Oreochromis niloticus: one gene and its partner. The protein of the gene in region 2 purifies or fractionates together with the protein of the main gene of each other region. This does not show direct contact. Links are inferred from orthologs where the notes say so. Each region holds a gene or a part of one and is shown on either strand. Other genes may lie near its edges.

Region 1 (10,128 bases), on a different chromosome or scaffold from region 2:
AGCAGGACAAACTTTAAGACTTAAATCAGTGTAATTATGAGCTTGTATGTAAGCGCGTGTGTCTAAGCATTTACCGTAATAGCCTTGGCTTCCTCCTCAGCTTCATCCTGGGAGGAGTCTCCACCTGTACACACAAGACTCTGGTCAAATAACTGTAATCATACCTGCTCCTACCATGATGTTTGAAGAAACATCTAAAAATAAACGTAAAATACTTTAAAGCGGGGATGGGCAATTAATTTCTCCAAAGGGCAAATATTAAAAAACTGGGACTGTTGTGGAGGGCTTATTGGTGTCGACCTCCACAACAGTCGCAGTTTCATATAACTGCCCCTCGGAAAAATGTAAAGAACAGCTAAAATCTGATTTTAAAACAATCTTAACTCCAGTAAGGATGACATTTGGCAACCTCCCTTGTACCCTAATAGAAAAGTTTAAAACCTCAGTGAAGAGTTTCTGGGGTTTTCCCCAAGGCTAGCTGCATAGGCAGAAACTATCCTTACTAACTTCTGATTCACTCACAGTCAGTCTGTTCTGTAAGCAGGTGTGGAATATGACAAAAATCACTCAGTTCAGGAAAGATCAAGGTTTTCTAGGAGTAAACAATTAAAGTTTTCAAACAAAAGATAAACTGTGTATACTAAATAATCCATCTCAGAATTTAATCTGGAAAACAGGAAAAGCAGGCACACCTTCATTGGCCGCCTCCCTCTCTCTGGTTTTGTTGTCAGCCTTGTCCAGGTAAGAGAAGCTGGGCCTCATCTGAAGAATTCCAGTCAGAGGTGTGACGTGAAGCTCACCTGTTAACGCCATCAATAAAACAACCAGATCATAAATCCTACTCTGATTGGAGTAGGATTAAACAGATAAAAACAAAGCCAAAACACAAACATGGTGCCACAATGAACTGCACAGGCTGCTGAACACGTTAATCAGGTCAGACCTTTGCGAAACACAGCAGCTGCGTATCTGGAGGTGTTGGTGGTGGCCTGGATGGAGGAGAAGGTCTGCTTGTCCATAATTTTACTAGAAATGGGGGGGGGGGGATGAACAGTCAGACCAGAAACAGGACCTGAATCAAAGAAGAGTCTATAAATAAACGGACATACGCAGAGTAGGTGTTGGTTTCGTCATAACCCGTGCCGTCCACATTTAGGGCGATTTGCTCTCCTTTACTGCGACAGTAGTTTGGACTCACTGTGTCCATGGATATTTCCAGCTCCACCTGTATAAGGAGCCGTACATAAATGATCAACAACTACAAACACCCGATTTAATGACTTTCAACATTTCTGAAAACTTCCAATACAAAAAATCTTATCTTATAATTTAACCTGATGTAACCAATTAACTTGAGAAATTGGTGATATTCAATACTTTAAAAATTTATCCTATTCACACATCTCCCCTGAAACGGAAACATATTTTCAACAAAACACAAAATACATCAACATCAGGTTTTTGGTTACCCTTTGCTGCTTGGGTTTGATCTTAGCCGCCAAGTGGGTGACATCATCATAGGTCATGGTGGCTGGTCGCACAGGGTACTGCATCAAGGGAAAGCGGTGAACTCAATTAGTGACTCTTTGAACATTACACATCAATCCCACCCCAGACGGTGCAGATAAGTTAGAGAAACTGCTCACACGTGGGCTCGTGAGGTCGTGCTCATCAGCGCACGGGTACTACAAAGGGACAAGCTCACCTGGAAAAGATACAGCTTATCTGCAAGGCTTTTGGCGAGGTACACGTCGATCTAGAAAAAACACAAACGTAGATCAAAGTCAAACAGGCTGACGTAAGGAGCCAACAGCCAAACCAGACTTTCCTCCAAAGTTCCCCAACTCAGGGTCATAGCAGGGTGAGAGGTTGGGTACACCCTGGACAGGTCGCCAGTCTGTCGCAGGGCTAACACAGAGAGACAGACAAGTAGGGCTGCAGCATTTGAATATTTAAGTAATTCAGTTTGCATTGATCCAAAGTGTTTGTGCTGACTTTATGGTGATGTAGATGTTAATAATTTGTGTTAATTATAATTCAGTGTCCAACCAAACAGCCACAGGTCATTGGCTCAGAGTTTTCCTGGCCATTGTATGTTATAAAAAAGCTTTTATTTTTATATTTTAAATATTCATAAAATTTAATTAATGCAATCTTTTTTCCTTGATTCTAAAAATTTTTGTTAGGAGAGCCCTTAAATAAATATGGCTCAGTACACCCCATGCCCTCTTTAGATTCCCCTCTGCATGCTGCAGGTATCACTGCAAGACAAAGTATGAAAGTTGTCTTTAGCAAGTTGCCTGATTTAAACATCGTATCAGACTTAGTTAGCAGTTAATCTGCATAATTTAATGTAACGCCTGTAATCTCTTTGTGGTGTGTTTATGTAGACAGAGTCCGGGCATGTCTTTGGGCTGAGGGTCGAGTACTCTAAGAGAACATGCAAAAACCACAGTAAGATACTAAATTCGAACCCATGACCTTGTTGCTGAGAGGCAGGAGTGCCTCATAGCTAACCACCGTGCCACCAAGTAAATAATAGATTATTAAAATCAGCTGTCTCCACTTAGCTCAAACAAATCCTTTTTGTGCTGACAAATCAGCTGCCAGAAGTAGTCAAGCCATGATCACTAATGAGAAGTTAATGAACCTTGTCCCTGTCAAGTGAAAAGGCACTGCAGAACCTTCAGCACCAATTACTAAAGTACATATTTAAAGTAATTAAATATGTATGCTGTACAATCATTCCACCCTGGAAAATGATCACTTCAAAGAAATAATTAAAAGCCAAAAATTGCCACGACAGTCATGCCGATGACGACTGTATGTAAACTTCTCACTACAACCATGAGTATAAATGCTGATATTTGCTGCCAGGTGATTTTATTACCTGTTAATACACCTAACAGAGACTATGCATGGGAAACACCTGGGAATTGTTTACTGCCCGTGAGGCTGTGTTCACACTGATAAACACAGAACAGCAATAAAAGGTGCACAGGGCAGAGAAAATGCTGTATCATACTTGATTAGGTCAGTGAGACGTATAATATCCTTTCACTTAAGCCTGTAAACATACCTCCTCTATAATGGGGTCATCATCATCACCGCTGGCCATGTTGATGTGATCAGAGCAAGAAGGTGAGAGGGGCAAATCTTGGGGGAGAGGGGAAGGGGGTGGAACCTGGAAAAATAAAAGACAAACTGGGTTACAGGAGCTAAACGTCCGGCTGCACATTCCTGTTACTGTTATGGAGTGGCTACACCCAGACTGGCAACAGAGGCACTAGATGACAGGAACTTAGTGATCCGGCACATTACAGTTACATCACAGTTCAGTCAGGAGGTGTCAGTATTGGTAATAGCCGATACTATTCAATTAACCCAACAAGTAAACCATAAGACGCTAAAGTAGTCAACTTCCTATGGTAACCTGTCATGTGATGCTTTCACGGACACACAGGTAAAATCCACATGATGCAACACAGCAGTAAAAGACTCCTCCTCGTAGAAACATAACCCTATCAAACACTGTGTCAAGCTAATAAAAAAACCGTATGACGCCAATTTACTGGCTGACTATATAGAGTGTTTATGGTTAAGTTAGCTCCATTAGCAGCAAACCCTGTGAGCATTTATCACAGGCCTACACAACACAGCGGGTGATTTTTTTATTCCTATGTAAAAACCAACACCAATATAAAGAAGATAGGATACACAGCACTAAGTTGAAGATCTGTTTCCTGTAAACAAAAGTACAAGCAACGACATTAGCTACCAAGGCGGTAGCTAGCAAATGTAGCCTAGCGTGAGCTAGCTTAGCATGGCGTGCTTAGTTAAAATAACACAGATTCAATCAGCGGGCCTGATTTTAAATGTTCTTTATGTAAGAATAGCAGATTCCTCCCTCACCTGCACACTTCACCGTTCAGCTTTAGCTATCTCATCCGGGTGTAGCTAGCCCAGGAACGTGGTGCAGAGAGCTGCTGCTGAAGTGGAGTTTAACTCAAGACAGCTGTAGTCTACTGCCGATGTGATACCATGTTGACTCTGCTCCACACAGACACGTGGGGAGGAGCCCGCGCCCATAATGCACAGCGAGTCCGCTATGCGCTTGTGTCATTATTTTTGTACGCTTTTTTATTCATTACCAACTACCCCTAGGTATTATTTGTGGACAATTTAAGTTTTCAGATGAGATTGTTTCGTGAATAGAACGGGAAAAAAATGTATCCTGGCAGCGGTGGGATTCGAACCCACGCCCCCGAAGAGACTGGAGCCTTAATCCAGCGCCTTAGACCGCTCGGCCACGCTACCGTTGTGATACGACGTATCGAAACAGAGGCTAATAGCGAATATGAAGCCCCCTGACTATAAAGTTTGGGTTGTACCCGTTTTAAATGGAGTTGAGACAAAAATAATGTAATATAAAATCCAAGGACATGCAAAATATACCCTGAAGTCTCCTGGGCAATTAAAAATAGAAAGTTTCAATTATTGCACTTCTATTGAGTTCTTTTTTTGAGACTGCAGCAGCAAATAAGAGGATAAACGTGTCCTCAATAGACAGAGAGGAGTCGTTACAGACTTTAACTTCAAATCACGTCTGCAGCACAGAGTCAGCCTTCCTAATCAGCTTCTTCAGCTTCCTAGTGTGAGTGGATCTGCTGTTAATACAACAAAAATAGTGTAAAAACGTAGAAATTTTCATCGGGGTTGAGGTTGGGGCTTTTGGGAAGGCTTTTCCAAAAGCGTAAAGTCAGTTTTAATGTGTGTTTTGGATCATTTTTCTGCTGGAACATCCAGTTGTGTCCGAGTTTAGTTGTTAATTTGAACTGAATCTAAAGTAATTATTCATTATTTCATCCACTTTGTGCAGTATACCCCAGAGCATGATGCTACCTCAAACATGCTTGACAGTTTGTACGTCATCTGTTTGAAAACCTCATGTTTATTCTGAAAACATGCCTCTTGCCATTGTGGTCAATTAATGACATACTGCAGCTCGATCTTTTTCTTAGTTGACCATCAAATTTCTTTCAATAAGGGATTTGGCTTGCCCATGTGGGACACTGCAAAATTCTATCAAGCTGATTTTGGGGGCTTCTTTCTTCCTCTCAGTTCATGATGTAAAACCTGCACTGCAGCAGTTTGGAGTTCATGGCAAGCTTTAAATCTGGTGGTTCCCGACTACACCGACCAATTTTCCTCTCATCTGAGGATAATAATGTGGGTCTTCTTCCAGGACTTGGCAAAGTGGTGACATACCTCTGAGCTCTGGGATCAGAGAAAAGTGCAAAGAAAACCAAGACTAGTGAGTTGAAGCATTTCACTGTTTTCTTTTGTCCCGTAACCAAACTGACTGCAAATTAACTTATTTTAGTTAATGGTGCAAAAAACTAAGGTAAATTGTTTCTGTTATGATACAATACACCCTAATTTTAGGTTACAAGAGTCCTTCCACTAGTTAGAAAAAAATCACAACAGGATCATGATTGGTAAAAAGAAAGGCAAACTTTTATTTTACAGTTTCATATTCCAAGCACTTTTCTTTATCACATATATTCTCTTAAACATAAACATGTTAACATCTGGGTCAAAATAAGTAAATCTTTTTTGATAGGTCAGACCTTTTCATTCGTAGAATCACATTAACTTAACTTAACTAAAGGTTAATATAGACATGAAATGAAAGAAATGAGGAGCCAGGAAATCTAGCTTTACAACCATACAGAAAGAATTCTGAAGATAAGTCTGATGCTGAATGGCTCAACACACATCAAACGCACACACAAACAAACCACCAACAGCAAAAAAAATCTGTCATAAAAACAGTAATGTAAACTGAAGTCATTCAGGTTTTACCCAGAATGTGTTAAAAAAAGAAAAGAAAAAAGAAAAAGAAAAACAGCCACACATCAAGTCTCGTGGCCTTTTTGGAGGTTAAAATTAATTTCTTTTATGTCGTGGAGTTACTCCTCCATTTGTGCCCAGGCTTCTTCGGCTTTCATGTAGTACTGGTTAGCCAGTCGACCCTTCATGGCCGCCATGGCAGCTTCTGCAGCTTCAGTAAAAAGGTCACCTGCAGGAGAGAGACAGCATGAGATGTTACAGGCAGTCGCTCCACCAAACAGAAATGAACACCAACCCCACGACCATCATGTGAGACTAAAGCTTCTCCGTGCCACAGATCAAAATCACAAGCCCTACTGCTTCACTGGGAAAACAACGGTCAGACAGAAACTGGTGCAGGATTTCTTGAAGTTAAAATTCTGCACTCGGGTTGAACCTGCTCTCTGTGGGTCTGCAGCGAGGTTGTGGCCTCCCTCCTGGTACATCTCTGCCTCTCTGGCCAGCAGAAGGTGGCGAGGCTCGTCCTGGGTCCCATCGAACTCTCCTCCCTCGTCGTAGTCCATCATGTTCAGCGCACTGTTGTACCAGTGAACCGCTTCGGCCCAGTCCTGCTTTCTGTGAAGGCAAGAGGATAAAATGCTTTAACTCACAAATCACCACCAATTAAAAAAAAAGAAACTGTAAAAATCCAACCGGCCACAAGAGGGCAGTACTATCGAGTAAAGTCATCCCCTTGGAGCAGGATTCCTATGTCTCACCTGAAACATCTGCTTTGAATGAACCTTCACTCACCTGTCAGCAGACAGATTGACTCCAGTATCAAAGGCTCTGGCCACTATGATCATAGAAGATCTGTCGCCAGCCTCAGCAGCCTGCAGCAGATACTTGAAACCTCTCATATTGTTTCCTGCATTATCCTGCCAACAACACACGCACACACACACACACACACACACACACACACACACACACACACACACACACACATCAGAATATAAAGCCACACTTGTGAAGTTAAGCTGAACAGTAGAAAGGAAAATAGATGGCGCACAGTACCTCCAGCTCCATGTCTGGGAGTATATGATGAGGTAGCTGCAGAAGGCACTGTCCCAAGGCTACGATGGCCTCCAGCTCTCCACACATGGCGGCTCTCTCCAGGTGGTACATGGCCGACTCCTGGTCCCACTGCTCGTCCTTCTCGCAGAAACGACCTGCTTCGTGGTACCGCACCATCGCCAGGTGGACCTGGGTGGGAGATCCAGAATATAAGCGCGTGAAGCATGTCGAGCTGCCTCATTGTGTTTGATTTGCTATAGGAGGAGTTTGGACTGAACAGAATGCTTTGCCTTTTATTGCTGGAATCAAAGAAATATATCAAAAATGGTAACAATGTAAGTGTTTTTAGTGTTGATGGGACCAGAGTTAAATAGCGGCACGGAAACATTAAATTAACTAATGTTTCCTCCTCTTACTTTTCCAAGAATCGACTGGCCGATCTTCTTCTGCAGCAGGTTGTTGAGTCGTTCCACCTCGGTGGCCACACAGGAAGGTCGGTGGACGTGAGCGCGGGATGAGTGATAGAAGGTCCACTTCTCCTCTGTCAACTGAACAGAAACAGGCGCCAAAGATCCAAGACAGAAAAAAAGTTACCATCTGATATTCATTGCATGAAATATATTATGGTTGAAAAGTCACACTGCAGTCTCAGAGGTGTACCCGTCCAGGAAAGTCTGCTTTGAGCTCAGAGCTGGAGGAGTACACCCCTGTTAATGCAAAAGGAGCGCACACACAGACACACACAGTTACAGAGGTGAAAATAAGCGGGATGGCAGAGCAGGCGAAGGTAAAGGAGGTCGATGGTGTTTCAGTTCCAAGTATCACTTTTTATCTCCAGTTATTCTGTATTTTCTGATCGTTTTCGTTCACTGAATAAATAAAGCAGGCGTCAACAGGAAAATAGCGACAGTGAGTTCAATCCACACAAATCGGAACCGTTTGAAAAGCAGAGCCATCATGCTGGAGGCAAGGATTATGCTTCACGGCCAAAAAAAAGACTGCAAAGCGCTGCACAGGGAAACACCTGGCTCAGGAGCTTCCATGCAAATAATCACCCATTCGTTGTCAGGAGTGTTTAAATTTAAGTTTGCAGAGACTCTTGGAGGAGCTACCATCTTCCTCTAGTGAGAGGAAACAAAGAGTAGGAGGAGTGGAATTAGAGGAGAGGTGAGGAGGGGCTTTCATGGTTAAATAAGTGATGGGAAAACAAAAGTAAAGATGATGTTAAAAGGGAAATTAAAGTAGTGTTATTTGATTACAGTGGTGATGATGATGATGATGATGATTAAGAACGAGGAGAGGAAGGGATTTAGGGATATTTATGTTTCTTTACCCGTCTGATACTTTCCTCATCCGACTCTGAATATTGCCTGTTGTAGCGATGATGGATCTATGTGACAATATGACATGGACTGTAAAACCAGCTGTCACGAAATCTAACAAGTGTTGAATAAGTGCATCAATGAGGCATGTCGAAGCTTGTAAGAGGACGTTCACAAACTGGATCCAAAAACGGGATTTAGATCACAGGAAAAATACATTTATTTAACTAAAAGCTTCCTCTTTCCATTCCTGTTGAACAAAGACAAAAATCTTTACCCCGTCTATGTGGTCATTTGGGTCTCCTTCACTCCTCCTCTCGCTCGGGTAGCCGCTGTCCCCGCCGTTTTCTGATTCCTAAAGACAAAAATTAAGACAAGAAATTCTGATTCCTGGTGGTAAACCTCTGTCAACAAGTCAGATACACAGATATAGTTTTCAATAATGTTTTAAATAATATAAGTAATGCTGTTAATCAATGTGAAGCTTGGGGTTGGGGGTGCGATGATGCAGTGCTCTGTGTTTTTTAAATGTGTTTTCTTTAATTGTCTGTGCTGTTTAGAGCCACTCTCACCGTCAGTTTTTACTTACCCTGTGTTCGCTTGTGTTGCTCATTCTGTCGTGTTCATACATTCCGGTAAAAGACGAGCCTGTAAAATGGAAATAATATGCAAAACCACACCATTTTAGCTCCTCAGCATGTAAGTGATGTCTGAATACTCATGTATCTCAATCTAGATACCTTATAGTTAGCAAATTTCCAGTAACATACAACAACATAAATGTCTACAGTAATCGACTCAACATGAGTACTGTCAATGCTGAAATCCTCCTTCTTGCTTAAAATGGATTATTGGTTCCTCTTGTTTTGCACCAAGTACTCTTAGTGCACTTCATTTACATGTAGCTGTCTGTGTGAATGCTTCTATTCATTCAAAATAGCGAGAAAATGGGAAAATACCAAATCTGAGAATGAATCACAACATAGACTGTATATGAAAGATGGACATGGCTACTGCCTTATCCTGCCATTCTTTATACTAGCCAGCAAGGGCGACTCCTCTGGTTGTAAAAAAACTTTCCAGTTATAAAGAAGTCTCTGCTCACATGATTTGTGATCTCAGTAAACACTTTCCTGATGGGTTTAAGGACTCTATCACTACTTTTAAGCTTCATTTAATAAATCAAATAAAACATGTGGTTCCAATTAGAATCAAATAGAGTGATAAGGAACGATGCGTTTTATAGTTTTCCTTGGTTTATGCATTTGATTCACTCCTCGCTCATTACATCCCGTTTTAAAATACCAAGAGCTTCATGACTGGACGTTACTAACCTACGTCCATCTTTTATATACAGTAACATTTTTGCGTGGTATTGTAGTAAATTGGTCTTGCATGTATTGATTGCTAACTTGCCTACAGAGCCAGCTGCAGTTGGGGGGGAGCAGGGAAGGATAAGAGGGGAGCAGGGGATAGATTCCATGTCGCTCATGCTCTCATCTGCAGACGAGGTCTCAGACAGGCGGGATAGGAGCGGAGGCGCCCGGCTGGCCGACATGGTGCGAACACGAGGAGAACCGCAGTGCTCCTCTGAGCCTCTCAGCACAGTCTGGGCTGACTTCTACAATGAAAAAAAAATAAGGAAGAAATATGAAAATTAAAAGAGGAAGAACTCAGAATTTCTCTTTCTTTTTGTTCTCTGCTCTTTTAAGCCGCAGACCAACATCTTCTACCAGGAAATAAACTTTCAGCAGACGTTCATGCCTAAATATGGAAACTGTGAACAAAGTGAGATACAGCTGCAAGCAGCAATGAGGAAGCCACGCAGCTCAGCAGGACAAGTGCAAGAGGAAGCTTTTGTGAGTTTGGCTTTCCAAAAGAAAGAAAAACAAAAAAC
Region 2 (10,260 bases):
TTCACTGGTAAAAATAAATAATTGAAATGGGTATATATTTGTTTTTTGTTAAGTTGCCTAATAATTATGCACAGTAATAGTCACCTGCACACACAGATATCCCCCTAAAATAGCTAAAACTAAAAACTACTTCCAAAAACATTCAGCTTTGATATTAATGAGTTTTTTGGGTTCATTGAGAACATGGTTGTTGTTCAATAATAAAATTATTCCTCAAAAATACAACTTGCCTAATAATTCTGCACTCCCTGTACATTAAACTAGCAAGCCTAAACGAGAAAAAAAATACTATCCTCAAAAATACTTTATGAAGCTAAGCAGGTATGTTGACATGCTTAAACCACTACATAACACTGGTTTAAAGTAAAGTTTACTGCTCATTTTTTAATGTTTAACTATACCTAAAAACAACAAATATGATATGTTGACCCTGAGTGCCTGTTTTTAAGGTTGTTAAGAATCCTACATGAAGTGTTCTTGTTGTTTCCTTTCAAACAGCTGTAATATAACCTGTCCTATTTGAGAACCTGAGCGTGCGAGTAATCCTTTTAAATCAAAGCACCCTGTGATGGCCATTCTTGTTCTGTCATTTTATATGGCTATAATCTAAAAAACAAACAAAACAAAAATAACAATAAGCATAAGAGAAGAAAAATGAACCTGAGAGATAAGTTGAGAGCTAAAAGCTCTAAGGAGAGTTGAGAGGAGGAACAATAACTGTCATCTTTTGGGAGCGAGTGAATGTCATGATTACGTATGCCCTGAGAGACGTTTGTGTTTGCCATAACAAGCGGTCTGACAAAAGGTGTCATCCTTACTGCTAATAAAGCCAAACATACTTTTAAACTGGGACAATCTAGTGGGAGTGCACATGTAGTCAGGAGGGTGAGATGAAGAAATATGTTAGGAGGTCATGAAGGACATACAGACAATAACAGGAGGAAAAGGGAGACACCAAGGCAGAAGCTAGATGAGAACTGGGGACCTGAGCAATAAGAAAATGTAAAGATGAAAATATATGAAACTTACATAGCCATCATCATAGGGACTCATAGAGTAATATCCCTTTGGGGACAAAAGCATCACACAAGCAAAAAAACAAAACAACAACAACACACACAAAACACAGAAAAAATGTTGTTCAGTTCAAATAGAAAGAAACAAGATTTCACAAGCCAGAGGTCAACACCACAATGAAGGCCGCTGACAGCAAGCATGATTGTCAAGCTGTGGACAGTTTTTTAGGTCAGTTGGGAACTTTTCTACAACGTTTTGATTATCGGTGGCACAAAAGAGGCAGAAAAAGAGGCTGAATAACAGTTTTAATGTAACAGTTAAGTTTTAATGTAACTCTGACTCATCTGGACACCTTTAACTGTCGTCTTTATGGGAGAAACATAGTTACATTTCCAAGGCAGATGATTACGTAAATGTCTGTGACTGGTTATTAGAAATTTGCGTCATGTACATTTGACTTTACAACAATGAGTGTATTTATTCAACTCCAGGATCCAGGAACCACTCACTCTAGGATGCACACAACAGAATGACTACACAGCTTACACAAAAAGAACAAAGATGTCTTTTTGTACATAATGCAAACACTCCTTAAGTGCACTTTTCCCTGATTGTGGCTCTTATCTCTTCACCGTCTGCTATGCATATTCTATGCTTTATTGAAATCACATTAAGTTGGGGCCAGGTGTTGCTGTTACTATTCTGAGCATGAAGAAGAGGGAAGGAGTGAAGACTGCGTGCTGCGACTCACAGTGCCTGGCCTGGTGAAGTCCGTGCTCTGCACCACACTCTGTCTCATCTGGCTGCTGAACAGGCGAACACACATACTCTGCAGGTACTCGGGGGAGATCTGAAAAAACAAGGCACACTCCCCTGAGCTTTAAAATACTGTTCGTGTGAGAAGAGCAGGGTACTAATAGTGTATTCCTGTTTTCCAAATATTAAAATCTTTTCACATATATTTTTCATCCATTTTGTGCATCAAAAGATTTTCTTGTTGGCGCTCGCATGAACACCGCTGGACTTTGCATACGCAAAATTTGTGGGTTTTTTCTGTGCGCACGCATTCTTTTCTAACATTCTTTTCGTGCCACACTTATGTACTCCGTACTTGTTGCACGTCTGACAGAATGTGTGCTTGTTTGTCCCACAGTTAGCCTGCCTTACCATCTTTCCGCTGGCGGTGGCCTCCAATGAGTCGACCAACTCAGCAGTGATTCCAATCAGGTTGTGGTAGTCAGCTTGCATCTTGTTGAACTTCCGTACGTAGCTGGTGATGCGGCGATCCGATTCAGCCAGCTGGAGCTGTAACTGCTGTGTGGCCTCTGTGCATTCACCAAACAAACAAACAGAAAAAGACAGAGACTGCTGAAACCAACACTGGCTTACAACCATTAGGTGAAAATGCCTGTTATCCTTTGAGATCTCAAGAGCCTCATTTAAAAATTAAACAATATTCTGAAATGCAATTTTTAATCAACCTCTCCAACACCAATCTCAGCATTGACTTTTCTACTAACATTTATCAATACTTAACATAATGTCTTTTGTCTATTAGTGAGAGCACTGTGAGTGTTATTACGTAAATAATACTTTCCACGTTAGACAAATGAATCAAACCAAAACCTAGGCAAACAGATGTATAATCGGTGACGCTGATATGACTTCTTTATCTGTAGTATTACTGTAGTTACTTCTGATTAATGAGCAGGTGTGGCCTTGAGCCTTTGTTCCATTTGAGATTATGAAAAGTTGAAAGAAAGCCAAAAACTATATCACATATTCGGGGGAAAAATGAATATCTGGCACTAAGAAACAGCTGTTGGGGTAGGGGTGAAGAACTGCAAACTGAATGCACAAAAAGGTAGACTCTGTGATGGGGTAATTACCTTTAGTACTCCTTCCACTCTCCTTCTGCATGAAGCTGGTTAAAGATCACATACTTAGAGACAAATCAAACATTTCTCCTGTATTTATTCCCTTGTTAATTGTTTTATCCAGAATTACACACAAATGAAATAATTAGTAACAGGACTGCAGATGGAACTAGTAAATATCTGAAGCCTCAATTATGCTTTCTGTGTCCGCTTGAGTCCAAGTGACGCAAATTTCATCATGAGATGCTGAGCGTGGTCCATGCGGACATCTGTTTTCCTGAAAGCAGCACAGACTTTACATTACAATGTACCAGATGTGCATGCACCCCAGGCGGCGGACGACAAACAAGGACAACTGGTTGTGTTCCTGTTTTCACTTAAGTACCCTATAAATGTCATGTAAGCACATGTAAATGTTGTTAATTGGCTGAGCCAAAAAACGCTGATGCTCAAGTGTTCCCACTTTTGGTAACCTTGTTAATTTTGTATACACTAGAAACATTTTTTTCAGCCCTTAGCATTTCATTTTACAAAGCTCTGAAAGTTGGCCAGTTTAGTTTCACAAACATGTACTGAGCAAAGTCCATGTGGTGGGTTTCCAGTATCCCAATAATTCCATTACCTTTGCCTGCCCTTCTACTCTGAGGAGGTTAGGATAACTTTGTTTCTTTCGGTGCATTAGCTGACTTGACAAAATCTAAAACCCCGGTTGGGGTTGTCACGACGATTGTTATCAACTTTCTCTTTTAGGCCAGGTTTTGTGTTTCAGATTGTGTGTGTGTTCTCCAAAAAAGTGCACAGTTTGAATTACTGTAACTTTACAGTAAGTAGTAAGTAAGTAAAAATGTGGCAGTTCCAGATTATTTTAAATCAAAACTGACTTTTAGTTCAACATAACTCACTAACCAATCAATCTCTCTTTGTGGTCCACCTCTCAGGTTGTCACATGATCAAACATGTTACAAGAGACTGGTTGTTAAAGAATTCCTTATTCACCTACAGAACATATTTTTACTCTACATTTAAATGTGCAGTCCAGCTAAAGAAGGCAAGTTTTTTGCTCCTCGTGGGTTTATGTTCTACACATCATATATTCCCTCAATGAAATTGCTAGATTTTTACTATTTGCTAAGTTTTATAACCTTCATTGAAGGCTGTAAAAACTACCTAACCTAATAATCTGCTTATGTAAAAAGCTGGAATTGAGAATTTAATTGACAAAAGTTACATTTTACTTGACAACCGTTTACCTGTCACGTGGGTTTGTGCAATGAATGAAAATAATAATTTTGTGACTATTAGTTTGAGATGCCATCCTGTTAGATATATCGCTAATGCCATCTCACTGAAATCAAAACAAGACAGACACAAATCCATTTGTACATCTGTACTCTGATGGTTTTCCCAGCAATGGCTCATTAGTGAGGCACAGTAGAAGGATACATATAAAGTCATCAGCCTTGGGCTGTTAGATGGCTTAAGTATCACTGACAGGAACTGCTCCAGCTTATCTCTCAATTTTGGCATCCAGGAATCCTAAAACCATAAAACACAAGCTAAATATGAAATATGATGATGTTCATTCTCACAGTGTGACTTAGTAACTGTACTAGATGGTAAAAAGCAAGGTAATATTCTATAAGTGTAATACCTGGAACAGTTCTTTGAAAGATGGGTGGACAGTTGGGTTGGGAACAAAAGGCAAAGCATAGTAAGGCAGAAACTCTGTGGTCTGGCTCAGAGCTTCTCCTCGAGTTTCCAGGTACTGCTTGAAGAAGGAAACCCTCTCTTCAAACTCAGCACGGTCCTTGAGGTAGATTTGAAATTTCCATCAAAAACAATTCATGAACAAAATTTTTAAAAAATAAATAACTAAATCAGGTAAGCTTAAGGGGTCACTTAAGAAGACGCAATACATCTTCAATTATGATTGCATGTTTTGCTAAAAGAAGCATAAGGTTTTTAAAAAAAAAATCTGTATAAATAAATGAACTCAAAATCCAATTGACTTCATGATGAAAGGTATTTCACACTGTAAGAGATCCACAAAACTGTTGCCGCAGAGGTGGGAAAATAAGACTCTGGCGCAGCTTAGTGGACATATGAAAAACAGCACATAATGACATAAGTATTAACATACACATACACATATAAATACACATGTAAATACATACATGTCCTACAGGGTGCCTCCTCAGTGGGTAGATTGTAAAGTGGATGTAAAGGTAGAACTCCAGTCCCTGGGCCTCAGCATCAGTGTCTTTAACTCTGGGGGGAATATTCTCTGTCCACAGTTCAAAGAACACCCTGTGGTCTCCATCATCAAATGAGCTTAGAAGGTCTTTCTACAAAAGTCACATTTTTTGTGGTTTATCGCACAGTAATAACTGAGTCATGATATGTACATGACTATTACAGACCGTTACAATTAATACAGATACATCAATTTGAAACTTGCTTTGAGGTTGCAATATTTACATGTTAATTACATTTTGTAGTCAAATAGTCTTTTCCACATTTTCCCATCACACCTCCACAAAAAATCAAAGTGTACCTGAATGACACGTGTCTTTGAGTCATTGAGAGTATTCCCTCGAGGCTTTGAGGCGAGTTTGCCTTTCCTTTTGCACTCCTTCTCAAAACTGTGAAGAGTCTCTTCAAATTCTTCAAATTTAAGGTACTACAAACAAAAGAAAAGAATACAAATAAACACACGTGACACACCACCTCAATCAGAGCAGAATGTAACTATGCTTTCAGTCATCTATGCATAGTTGTAGAAACGCTATATATAAAAGTTGTACATTTCGATTACTTCACTTCTATTAATGCTCACTGCGATTTGCATATGGCAATTTACAGAAAAAACGTCCTACCTCCTTAATCATCCCAAGAAGATCGGCTTCATTTGCCAAGATGTCCCCCATCTTGGCTGCCTCCCTGGAACTCATGTGAGTACCGAAAAGCTTCAAAATATCCGACAGCAAAGAGTCCAACTTTCATTCAATAACGTTTTCGCCCCGAGTTAGCATTTTGCGGTCTGTTTAAATTGGACAGCACAATCGTTTGAGCAACACACACACTCTCACACACACTCACACAGAAAAAACATCTACAGAGATACAACTGATTGGCAGTTTTACTTTAGAATCTAAAATTCAAGCACATTTGCATTAAAAGTGAATTATTTTCAGCACAGTAAGACATCAGACACAGCGTCAAGATGTCACAAGCTAGCTAATAAGCTAGCTCATCAATTAACGTTGTGTGACATAAAGAGAGCACATTAACATCATTACCTCGTTCGCATATCAGGTACTTGATGAATACATTTCATTGACCCTTCCGAGGCGCTCACGCGTAGAACCGTCCATTTTTGTGAGGATTTGTGGTCTTGAGTTGCAACTTAAGTTAGTTAGATAGCCATTCGCTAGCAACAGTACACAGACAGGACGCTAAAAAACACCTAGCAACCGAATAGACTGGAAAGTAGAGGCAAATGTCGTAAACAATGACGAAAGGATGCTATTTGGTTCTTAGGTATTCTTTGCAGATTATTGTTATTTTCTTTTCCTCTTTTTAACCTTATAACAATAATAAGGTATCTCATGAAAACCTTTACTTTTTAAACTAGCTGGAAAACCTATATTTTTTTCTAATATTAACGTAGAGAAAGAGCAGATAGGCAGGTATTTTTTTTAATTATGCGTTTTATTTTTTGTCTGTGGTTGAAAAAAATCGTCTATCTGTCTTTATCTAATTTTGTTATATATTTACATTTATATCTTTTCTTTCCGTATTTCAAACCGGAAGCACTTTGTATGTCAAAGGTTGAGCACATTGTTTCTGCGCGGTACAGTCTGTTTGGGATAATAATGAATGAAATTTTGATTAAATAAGACATTAGCGCAAAATTAAATACTCGCTGTCGCAGTCTGAAAACCCGAGTGAACGCGACGCCATTGTATTTACAGTATAATATCAAAACTTTATCGTATTTGAGGTAAGTCTTTGCAATCGTGTGGCCAATATGCTAAGGCTAACAATTAGCATGAATGAGAGACGCTAAAGTTAAAGCTTAACCAAGACCATAATACTTTGGCTAACTGATTCAGCAACAACAGGTATTAGATTACTGTTACATGTTACAAAAACAAATGCACGAAATATTAAGGCTTGAAAGGGTTTTTTTAAGTTGTGATACACAGTTGTCTCATTAATGGGTCATTGGAGGTTAGGATTTTTGAGATGTAGTTATGCACAGAGTACACAGAAAAAACAGTAAGCAAACTCAAGTTTCTGTAAATTTCAGTGAAGTGTGTTTGTTGTACTGGCAGGGTGGGTTGCAAGTCTTAGTAACGGTTTTAGTCTAATAAATGTGGCTTCATTTCGTGTTTTTGTCTTTATTTTTCCCTCTTTTTACAGGTTGACAGACTTGGAGAGAGATGGCTGGAATTCTTTTTGAGGATATTTTTGATGTAAAAGATATCGATCCAGATGGCAAGAAGTTTGACAGAGGTGTGTGAAGTATTATTATAAAAGAAAAATGTGAAATTATAACACCAACCAACAGATAATGGCTTGTTTTAAAAAATTCTAGTCTGTACTGCCCTACTAGTAATTTCAGACACAACGGACAGATTATTAGCCGTTGACCCACACTCTTTTAATGTAATATCATCTTGATATAGATAAAGTTTAATTTAGAACCCAAGTGCAGTTTTTTTTAGTGGAAATGTATTGTGGAAAGGGATCTGATAAATATTAAACCTTTCAAATACATGAACACAACTTCTGGCCAATCATGAGCCAGTCTAACTTTCATTATCAACAAGAGGCATTATTTTAGTTATTGTTGATCTTCTTTAATGTAATTTAATTTAAAAAAAACAAACAAACATATAAATTATCTAATAGAAACTCTGCAACTGTTATTCTACAGTATCTCGCCTCCATTGTGAAAGTGAATCGTTCAAGATGGACCTCATCTTGGATGTGAACATTCAGATCTATCCTGTTGATCTTGGTAAGAAAAAACCTTTTTTTGTCCCTGTGTGTCTTTGTGTTTCTTTTTTTTTTTAAATTGGAAGTCATTTGCTAGTTAATTTTTATCAAATACAATAGTGTAAACCGGCCCTATATACAGTATAATTATAGCAAATGACTATGTCAGCTTTTTGGAATATTTCATCAGAATAAACTGGGACTCTTTAAAAGTAAAGATTATACTGTAATACTTAAAAAAAAAAAATATGATTGCTTGTTAATGTATCCCCTGACTCCCTCAATATTTGACTTTTTCACTTGCAGGTGAGTTGTGTAATAGCTGTATATTAACATTTACTCAACCCAAAGGAACCCAGCTCTATAAGTAAACCTTTAGCGAAAGCCTTAAAGAACCATGTGTCAGAGTTGTATCTGTAACTCAAAGTGTCCAAATGCAAAATATGATAAAGCCTGTTTGTTATAATATACCTGTTTCATTAAGGTGACAAGTTTAGACTGGTGATTGCCAGCACGTTATATGAAGATGGAACACCAGACGATGGAGAGTACAATCCTCAGGATGACAGACCGTCTAGGTAAGACAACTGCTTCCAATTTAAAGTTTTAATTTGTGTAACTCTAGCAAAAAAATGCTGTTTTGTTGGCATTTTTAACAATAATAACATCGTTAGTACTTTATTACACCTATAATTTACAAAATGACTTTCACACTCATTCCACTTTGTTTAAATTTCCAGGGCAGACCAGTTTGATTATGTGATGTATGGGAAAGTTTACAAGATTGAGGGCGATGAAACTTCAACAGAAGCTGCCACACGTCTGTAAGTGAAGTGCTTAGTTTTCTGAAAATGACTATATGTCATGTATTTACTGAAATTCATAACCTGCTGGAACAAAACTGTGTTTCTAACAGAGAACATGACCTTTCTGTGAAACTATTTGTGGAAATGAGATACCTTTTGAATTTGCCTGTGTGATAACCTTTCCAAACTCTGCTGTTGGTTTGTGCTATTCCAATTTCTTGTGTGTTCTTCTTCTTTCAGCTCTGCTTATGTGTCTTATGGAGGCCTCCTCATGAGGCTACAGGGGGATGCCAACAATCTTCACGGCTTTGAAGTGGACTCCAGGGTCTACCTGCTCATGAAGAAGCTGGCCTTCTAAAACACACCTTTGGTCACCCACCCATGGTTCACCAGTCAACCTTAAAATTATACTGAACTGAGTACTGAAAACATGCATATTTTCAGGTCTGGAGAATCTACAAGGAAGCTGTTGGAAACTTTTATTTTGTTGATTTTCATTCCTCCATCAGGATGGACTAAAGACTAAACACTGTGGCACATAAGAACAGCTACCGACTCCACCTGCAGACAAACTGTAAATAAAGTTTTCTTTTATACACACTGGCATGTTTATTCTTAGGTTTATTTCCTTACATCGTAGCAGCTGCTCTCAAACAAACATTTAATTATCCTTGTACTCGACAAGAAGGGTGAGTCTAACATTATTACACAGGCATCATGTGTGCAGCTATAATTGGGATGGAAGATGGTTCTATAAAGAAACAGTGCTAATTGAATTAAGTAGCTCAGAGAACAGTGAACCTTCAGGTTTGTAATTACAGTTCCAATAAATCTGTTTGCGGTTTTTGGCTCCATTTATTCCCCCCGCAGACCCTAAATGGGCCACTTATCCTCAGCCTACTCACAACAGCAACAATGCATGTTGGCTGATGTCATTCTGACTGCACAGGAGGCAACAAGGGATCCACAACCACAGAGCAAAACCTTAAGCATGTGTAAAAGGAGAAACACGCATAATTAATGCCTAAAGATTAAAGATTGACTCTCCCTAAAAAGAAAGATTAGGAAACTTTAAAACTTCCTTTTAGTTTTAGGAAACTAAAAGGAAGATTTAGCAACTTTGAATAATGTAACCCTACCTCATGTGTGGGACTTCACAGTGTGATGGGCAAATGTTCTACATGCCAACAAACTAAAATGTGAACACACGACAGACAGAAAATTTAATCAAGCGTACACAGGCAGCTTTTTGTACGGAAAGTGGGTTTTTCTTCTAATGGAAGTCACAAGATGGGGAACATTTTTGTCTGACTCAGACTCGAGTTTAGTGATGCAATAAAGGAACGATGTAACTTCTCTGAGGTCTTCCGCTTTTCCTCCTGCTTGGCATCTCCGTTTTCAACATCCTTTGTCCAACAAATCCACTATCCCTCATCATCATCCCGTGTTTCTCTAACTTCATCTCCAAAAGACTTGACGTGAGCTCTCCCTCTGATACACTCATTTCCTAGCTTGTCCATCCCGGTCACTCTCTATGAAAATTTTAGCTTTTCCAG

Evidence for each region. The genes of interacting proteins can lie anywhere in the genome.
Region 1: the proteins of polr2h (region 2) and polr3e purify together in Homo sapiens (affinity purification with mass spectrometry; 3 studies listed by BioGRID and IntAct, with this or other methods). This does not show direct contact. The link is inferred for Oreochromis niloticus from reciprocal best matches to the Homo sapiens genes POLR2H and POLR3E.

What each region holds. Positions count from the first base shown.
Region 1 is NC_031973.2:9,905,275-9,915,402, reverse strand, and holds the start of polr3e (DNA-directed RNA polymerase III subunit RPC5), read right to left. Parts: upstream 4,142-10,128; 5' UTR 3,913-4,141; intron 3,185-3,912; 5' UTR 3,119-3,184; coding exon 3,080-3,118; intron 1,757-3,079; coding exon 1,706-1,756; intron 1,548-1,705; coding exon 1,470-1,547; intron 1,226-1,469; coding exon 1,110-1,225; intron 1,027-1,109; coding exon 944-1,026; intron 801-943; coding exon 693-800; intron 125-692; coding exon 75-124; intron 1-74. Other genes in the region: eef2k (eukaryotic elongation factor 2 kinase), read right to left, coding at 5,973-6,082, 6,290-6,468, 6,646-6,770, 6,910-7,098, 7,326-7,457, 7,965-8,030, 8,243-8,299, 8,509-8,586 and 2 more. UniProt on the Homo sapiens protein: DNA-dependent RNA polymerase catalyzes the transcription of DNA into RNA using the four ribonucleoside triphosphates as substrates.
Region 2 is NC_031980.2:34,413,177-34,423,436, forward strand, and holds polr2h (DNA-directed RNA polymerases I, II, and III subunit RPABC3), read left to right. Parts: upstream 1-5,736; 5' UTR 5,737-5,770; coding exon of another isoform or gene 5,771-5,845; exon of another isoform or gene 5,846-5,934; intron 5,935-6,193; exon of another isoform or gene 6,194-6,434; intron 6,435-6,693; exon of another isoform or gene 6,694-6,897; intron 6,898-7,319; 5' UTR 7,320-7,339; coding exon 7,340-7,412; intron 7,413-7,836; coding exon 7,837-7,920; intron 7,921-8,382; coding exon 8,383-8,476; intron 8,477-8,638; coding exon 8,639-8,722; intron 8,723-8,944; coding exon 8,945-9,062; 3' UTR 9,063-9,316; downstream 9,317-10,260. Other genes in the region: lisH domain-containing protein ARMC9, read right to left, coding at 1,030-1,065, 1,769-1,867, 2,185-2,342, 2,907-2,931, 4,338-4,430, 4,546-4,701, 5,069-5,239, 5,449-5,574 and 1 more. UniProt on the Homo sapiens protein: DNA-dependent RNA polymerase catalyzes the transcription of DNA into RNA using the four ribonucleoside triphosphates as substrates.